Linked DNA regions of Coturnix japonica. The protein of the gene in region 1 binds, or shares a complex with, the protein of each later gene. Links are inferred from orthologs where the notes say so. Each region holds a gene or a part of one and is shown on either strand. Other genes may lie near its edges.

Evidence for each region.
Region 2: the proteins of SNAP25 (region 1) and VAMP3 are in contact, whole or in part, in a crystal structure (PDB 5KJ8), measured with the Rattus norvegicus proteins. The link is inferred for Coturnix japonica from reciprocal best matches to the Homo sapiens genes SNAP25 and VAMP3. Residues at the interface, in NP_112253.1 of Rattus norvegicus: Asp147, Leu150, Glu151, Val153, Ser154, Ile157, Leu160, Arg161, Ala164, Leu165, Met167, Gly168, Ile171, Asp172, Gln174, Asn175, Ile178, Asp179, Ile181, Met182, Ala185, Asp186, Asn188, Lys189, Ile192, Ala195, Asn196, Ala199, Thr200, Met202; in NP_476438.1 of Rattus norvegicus: Ser15, Arg18, Leu19, Gln21, Thr22, Gln25, Val26, Glu28, Val29, Ile32, Met33, Asn36, Lys39, Val40, Glu42, Arg43, Lys46, Leu47, Glu49, Leu50, Arg53, Ala56, Leu57, Gly60, Ala61, Gln63, Phe64, Ser67, Leu71, Lys74.

The regions. Positions count from the first base shown.
Region 1 is NC_029518.1:11,889,295-11,892,971, forward strand, and holds the start of SNAP25 (synaptosomal-associated protein 25), read right to left. Parts: upstream 2,850-3,677; 5' UTR 2,689-2,849; intron 1-2,688.
Region 2 is NC_029536.1:234,698-238,414, forward strand, and holds the start of VAMP3 (vesicle-associated membrane protein 3), read right to left. Parts: upstream 2,811-3,717; 5' UTR 2,694-2,810; coding exon 2,692-2,693; intron 1,344-2,691; coding exon 1,262-1,343; intron 664-1,261; coding exon 505-663; intron 27-504; coding exon 1-26. UniProt on the Homo sapiens protein: SNARE involved in vesicular transport from the late endosomes to the trans-Golgi network.

The DNA.
Region 1 (3,677 bases):
GATGCTCTAAAAAGCTTCAACAATTATACTGTTACAGACTACTTGGCACTCACCCAGCCCAAAGGTGACTGCATTTCTAGCAGTAGAGGAAACTTCAGATAAAGAAAAACATACTCACTTCAGTGAAGGCCATAAAGTGAGTTTACATTTGTTGTAGTTTTAAGTGACTTAAGCCCTAGAAGTCTGAAATAAATGTGCATGTGTTTTAATAATGAAAGTGCTGTGATTATACTCTAGTTATGAAAAATTGAGGAAAAAAATCAGGAAAAAATTAAATGAAATGAACAAGTATGGTAGTGTAACAAGCCAAGGTAAACCAAGTTCCTTTCTTCCTAGGGTTTTTTACATTCCTGAGAGAAGGAATTAAGAGACTGAGTTCTCCGTTCTGCTGTATGCTTGCCATTTTACCTCAAATTGTTGCAACATAGGCTTGTGACACAAAAGCCTAAAAATTGCTTAAGTTAATAATAAGACAGGAAAGCATGTTGATTAGTTACCTTGCTCGGTTATAGCAGAGCAGGAATTAGATATAGACTACACTTTATTTGCCTTAGCAGTTTAATCTCACTGTCTGTTGCCATGCCTAACCTGTACAGAGATGAATGAAAAGCTTTCTGATGACCTGAAATACAGCTTCCACCCCCAATGCAGTAAATCTGCAAACTGGAGCTGTGTTTCATTAGATGTACTTTAAGGGTTCTTTATTTTTCTGCCCTCATGAGTTCAGTGGACATAGAATCCGATATCTCACTATCATTTCCTAGCTAGCTGTATAAATATAGTTAAACTGCATTTACTTGGGGTTGCTGTTTAGCTGCATTTTGTTTCGTAACATGCTCGGTTATTTCCAGTCCTCCTGACTTCAGTGGGAGCCTCAAGCTCTCACTTTTGCAAATCAGGCCTGCTTGTACCTTTGCTTTGGTCACTTCTGCTGTCTCTTTGGCACTCATCCTAGGAATCAAAGTGACCTCCTTGCCATCCCCTTATGCACTATGCAGAAGCAATGGAAAACCACTGCCACTTTTTCCTAGACTGGTATCTTTGACCATGATTCAGTGACATGCAGGGATATGGGAGGAGGATTCTTCATCTGTATCCCCTGGAGCTCTCATCACCCAGATGGCCCCATTTCCTCCCCTGCAGCCCATAGAGGTGTCTGCCTCCAGACCAGCCTTGTCTTGTCATGGTCTATGGAGATCAGAGCTAGGATGGAGCAGGGAGGAGAGGGACAGGCATGTCCTTGTGGATGCGGCAGCTGGGGCTGACAGTAACCACGTATGGCTTGGTGGGTTGATCTGCCATCCCCAGGCTTCACCACAGACCAGCCTCTCCATCCCCACCTCCTCCCCCCCACCCCCTTTTCAGCTGGGAATGAAACCAGCAGCAATTACTCAAGCCAAGCACGTAAATCTGGCAGATCCCATGGCCCTCATTTGACGCAGCTACGCAGTGCAATGTCTGGACGCCCAACCCACTTCCCTCATCCCCTCTTGTTTATTTGCCCTGCAGAAAACAGCAAAGTTACCAACTTTGCCAGCAGTGAGCTGTACCAAGTGGAGAAGGAAAGCGGGGTGCCAGGGAGCAGGAAGGACAGGGGAAGAGGAACGCCAGGGACAGGGATGCCAGGGTCAGGAGTGCGAGGTGGGTTTGCCTGCATTGCATGAGGAGCTGAGCTGCCCCGACTCAAGGCTGCAGAATGCCCGGGGCCGACCCTCTGTGGTTGCGGGGATGCCCTAGGGGCTGCCGCTGGTCCGGAGAGACCCCGCGGACCAGGTGTTACATAACTCCCGTTTCCCTTGCACCAATGCCCTTCCACCAACCGGCCGGGTGGGAGACAGGCTGAAGAGCCGCTTAATTTCAAGAACCGAAGCTTGTAATTATTATTGTTTATTATTATTATTATTATTATTTCTCCCACTTTGCGCTTCGACTTGCCGAGAAACCCCGCAAAGCCCCAGCTGTTTCAGCCTGAGGTCCCGTCCCGGAAGGAGCTAGCAGCTCAGCTATGGGCTCGCTTCCCTTGCGGCAGGGCAGAGGCTGCCCGGGGCTGGCTGCCCGGGGGGGGTGCGGAGCCGCAGGGCGCTGCAGCGAACCCGCCTCCGCCTGCAGCGCGGCTCCAAGCCCGGGGCGCCGTGGCGCTGTCCGCGGTGCTGAAGACGGACGCTGTCCGCTGTGCTGACGGACGCTGTCCGCGGTGCTGAACCGCCTCCCGTTCCCGCAGAGCCGCAGTACTCCCTGCTGACCTCCCCCCCGGCCTCCGTCCGCGGTGCCGAAGCGCCGCCGCAGCCCTGCGCGGTGCGGTGCGGTGCGGGAAGGGCGCTGCAGTGCCCTGGGCGGCTGCAGCCCTGCGCGACCCAGCAGAGCAGAGAGCCCCGCAGCACCCTGCTCCCAGTACAGGTTAGAAATGCGCTGCTTGCCCTTCTCCTCGGGCTCCCTGCCGCCTTCGATCGTGCCCGATACAGCGGAAACACAGAGCTCGGTTCCCTCCCATGGTTCCAGCCGGCGATAAGGCTGGCGGCGGCATTACCCCCCCTCTCCTCGACTTCCTCCATCCCTGTAGCAGCCCAGAGACAGGAGACAAAACGCCGAGCGCGTCCCCCTTTAAACAAATCCTTTTTTCGCTTCATTTTCGTTCATACAGCCCCCTCCCCTTGCTCAGTCGGTGGCCCGGTGGTCTCCCGCCCTTACCTCGGCTTGTGCAGCGCTCCGCCGGGCCGCCTCGGCGGGGTTGGTGTCTCGGTGCCGCAGCTGGGAGGCAAGGACAGCCGCTGCTGACCTCCTCGGGTCTCCTTCTTCAATGGACCGAGAGCCGTGCCCTCATCAAAGATGGCCGTCCGCTCCTACGTCAGCAGCTTTTAATAGCCCTCCCCGGAGGGGGGGGGGGAATGGGGGAGGCGGGAGCGGGCGGGGGGCAGAGCGGGCCGGGCGGGCGGGCTTGAGTCATCACCGCCGCCGCCGCCTCCCGCTCCGATCTCCTCGCCCCGCCGACAAACGGCCCCGCCGGGCCTCCTCCGAGCCTGGGGGCCGGGGGCTGAACCGCCCGGGGAGGGGGGAAGGGGCCTCCTGCAGCAACATGCCTCCGCCAAAGGGGTGGTCCGAAGAGGGTATCCCTCTGAAGTCCCCGGTACTCCATATATGGCCAATCTACGTGGGCTTCTATTTTTATGTGTGAATTCTTCCTTCTCTCCCTCTTTTTATGTTTCAGAGCATCCTGCCACGGGTCTGAGTGTGTTAATCTGATTATTCCCCTTCTCCTCCCCCCTGAAATAAGAGCACACAAACGCAAGGAAATCCACAGATAAGGACATGTGCTATAACCGATCATTTGAGAGACAGGTTTAGAAAAGGGAGAGAGAAGGGGGGAAAAAAAAAGCCCTCACAAAAAACCCAGGCATGTACGTGCATACATACAGCACAGAGAGAACAGACCGCTGCTGCCAAGGAGGAAAGCAGTGACTCTGTTCTGGGAAAAAGCCTGGCTTATTTATCATGGATTAATTAAAATATTTATTCAGAGCTTACCTAATTTGGAGCAAATGGAGCTGTCTGTAGTGTGATATTTAATGGAGAGGAAATCCTCTCATTTGTTACAAAACATCTTTCTGTAAAAGGTATCTCTTAACGGAGATTTTAATGAAGGATGGGGATTGCATCTGAAATGCGACACTCTTTCATAA
Region 2 (3,717 bases), on another chromosome or scaffold:
ACAACAGCTATCAATATTGCCCACATCTGTGAAGAAAAAGCCACTCGTCACATAATGTAACAGCAGCGTTTAATAGCCGTCAGAGTGCAGGACAGCAGCCCTTGCAAAGCACTTTCACTCGGTGTGGTAGACCTTTCTGTTGTCTTTGTTGCTCACCAATGAGGATTCCAACCTCTGCTGACAGCTACAAGGATACCCAGTGAGCTCATTCCGCTTGCTTACACATTAATATATATATTTTTGGCCTATTCCTCTTGTACCCCAAAGCCTCAGATTATTGCAGCATTTCCCTCTGGCCATTGCTGCTCACACAAGGCCTTGTATCAAGCAGCATTGCTGGTCATCTATTTGATTACTTCACCTCACCACTGCAGTGCTTTAAAACTAGATGCTATAGAAATGAACGCTGCCTGAAGTCCCTTTTCCCGCTGCCTTTTGAGATGCTGACTGTAATACTGTTCACTGTGATAGTGAATACTCTAAGTGTATATATGCCACGGTTACCTTACAGTTCTTCCACCAATACTTTCTCTTCAGCTTGGCCGCACTGGTCTCAAACTGGGAAGCTCCTGCTTGCAGCGCATCAGCACGGTCATCCAGCTCCGACAGCTTCTGATCTCTTTCCAGCACCTTGTCCACATTCACCCTCATGATGTCAACAACCTACATCGGTAAGTTATCAGCTTTATTAATCAGTATCAAATCCATTTGCAGGGAACAAATGTTCTCATCTAAGGAGCAGGAACTTGCATTTTAGGGTATCCAAACATAAGCCTGAACATTACCTGCAGCTGGAAGGCCCTAGTGTCTATTTCTCAGTCTCAGTACAGTCACTGTGCTTATATTCCCCTGAACCTGGGATGTAACTCCTGACTGGCACCAGAATGACTTGAGGCATTCAAGCACAACAGTCAACCATACGTCAAAAAACAGCGTTGGCAGCTAAACTGGCTCTTGGCCTCCTCAGGAATCAGGACATGTCTTATTTAGAGGTAAAACTTCTTTGCTAATGAAGAGAAGCAAGCTTGTTCTGTGTCAAAGCAAAGCTTGTTGTCTTCCCAAAGCAGCAAGCTGGAATGAATTAATGGATTATTATTTTTCTGAACCTTTCCAAGAGTTAAGGTGATAGATACAACAAAGAAAGATGAATTGTAAAAGGTTTCACCTTCATATCAAACAACAGCGACTTTAGCTGGTATATCTATACTAGATACCCGATTTTTTAAGGGAATGAATGACACTTATCTAACCAGATTTTTACCTCATCTACTTGATGCTGAGTTTGCTGAAGCCGACGGTTGCTACCAGCAGGCACATTTGTGTTTCCGGGGACGTTGGCTGACCTGCAGTAAAGAAAGCCATTGGGATCCTCTTAGTTTCTCTTAGAGATTTTGCTTTCAAGTTGACATGCTTACAACACACAACTTATCTGACCTTCCTGGAAGCAGGAAACTTTGAATCCTGGAATAATCTTAGAGAAGTTTAATTTCCTTTTGGGAAAGTGATGTTTTAGCAGCTGGCTATAGGTCTAAGTCAAAGTGCATCCTCAATCTCTTGCTAGTGAATGGACTGATGTACTGAAAGTCACAATTAGCTAATACAATAGTCTCTATTAAGGCATATGGCAACTCCTGTAGTGCTCAGAAGGGGCTCAGGTTCTCAGGCACAAGCTCAGTAGTGTTCAGTTTTTCAGTAACAAACTCTACGCCAATAACCAAAGTACAGGAACTTTCATGGTTGTTCTGTGTCCTTGCACAGAGCAGTTGTCTGAAACAGTTGATATTGAGCAAGAGAAAGCACAAGGAAAATGCATTTGGCATAAAGAACAGTTAACCTGCAGTCAGCTCTGAGCTCCTAACCCCAGGCAGTCCCATTCTTGTTACCCAGTACAACACTGTGCATTACTGCAATCAGTGCAGGAGTCTGTACGCATTTCTCATGTTCTGTCCACAGCTTTAGTGACTTTCTGTTGTACAGCTCCACAACTCCAGCAGCTTTTCCGTATTTTCCTCTTTTCTGCAGCAGAAGTTCGTGCTGTTCAGTGCAACCTGACACCCAGAGGGTTCAACCTGAGCATTGTTTATTGTAGCACGAGATTTGGGCACTAAATTCAAACCTACATTTTAAGGAAGTAGACGCACACAGCGACCCACACCCAGTGCCCCGTGATAACAAGACAGGGCTCAATAGTAGTAGTTCAGATTTGATGTAATAACCACTCCTGTGCTCACACCTCTGTGCTGTTTTACTGCTGCCAATATTTAGGAAGCGCTTTCTGAGGCTCCACACAGAACGCACACAAGAAATTGGCCTCCAAAGCCGCCCCTCGTTCCTTTGCCCACGTCGGCAGCGCTTCCAGAAAAGCCTTCAGTGAAGTTGCCGAGGCCGCCGACATTGTCCCGGGGAGCCGGGCAGGATAACGCCCCCCCGCCGCCTCCAGCGGCAGCCAAGGGCCGTGGCCGCCTCCAGCTCGGGGTGCGCGGCCCAAGCGGAGCCCGCTCGGCCTCTCCCGGCTGGAAGCGCGGCCGCCCCGGGAGCCTCCACCCACGGGCGGTTCCCGGCCGACATCAGCGGCCCGAGCCGTAACGAGCCGTAACGAGCCGCCCGCTGCTCCTGCTCCGCTCGTCCGGCCGCGGCCGGGCCGCCCCGCCGCCCATCGGGGCCGCTCCCCGCCCGCAGCTCCGTACTCACATCGCGCCGCCGACACGGAGCCGCTGCGCACCCGGAGCGCTCGGAAGGACCGACAGGAAGCGGCAGCTGCCCCGCGGAGCCCGGATGTGACGAAGGGAGGGCGGGGCTGTGGGAGGAGCAGGCCGCGGGATGGGCCCATGGCGGCGCTACGTCCCTTATGTCCCGTGTAAAAACAGTCAGACGCTTCGTATGGGGAAATTTTCTTTGTTTTTAATTTACAGCAGAAAGAATATAAAGCATTCAGAAAACATTTTCCATATTTTAAGGGCAATTCAAAACATTTTGCATGGTTCCAGCAGCTGAGTTCTTCAACAGATCCATTGATTCAGTGATGCTTTACATGCACGGTTACAAAAATAAAACTTACAAAAGAGAAGACATCTATACTAGTTTGACATGCAAGTCTTGGGGACCCCCCATTGGGCACCAGCTATTGTGTGGAACTGCCATAAGCGTGCAACCAGAGAGGGGGTTCATGTTATATTCTGCATTTCGATCACACAGTATTTCTGCTGTCAGACGCGATTCACAAAGGAGCGATTCCGTGACCAGACAGGAGGGTTCAGGAGGTTTTGGCTCCTGGCACTTGGGAACCTGAACTTTCCTGGGAAGCTGCACTTAGTTTGTCTGCTGTGAAAACACAAGTCCCACAATGGAGAGAAGGGTGAGCGGATCACTTCACTTCAGCGGGAGTCTGTGACCCCCCGCGATGCACTGAAGGGTTGTGACCCGACACAACAAAGCACTTGGAAGCTGCGCTTGGCTTCAAGCAGGCGAGCAGCTCTGAGCACACAGAACTGCTGGCGTGTCGAACACCAAGCCCACGCTTAAACGTTTTGCTGAAGCAGGATCTGGGTTAGTAGATACACCACCAGGCCCATGGATCTGGAAGAGTAATGTGAAATAGCTCTGTATGTTACTGAACTGTTTTTCTGAATACAGGGAGTTCAACATTTGCACTGAGGTCACTACTCTCGTTAGAAAAGAGATCGATTCGTGGAGCAACATTCCAATCTCAGGATATCA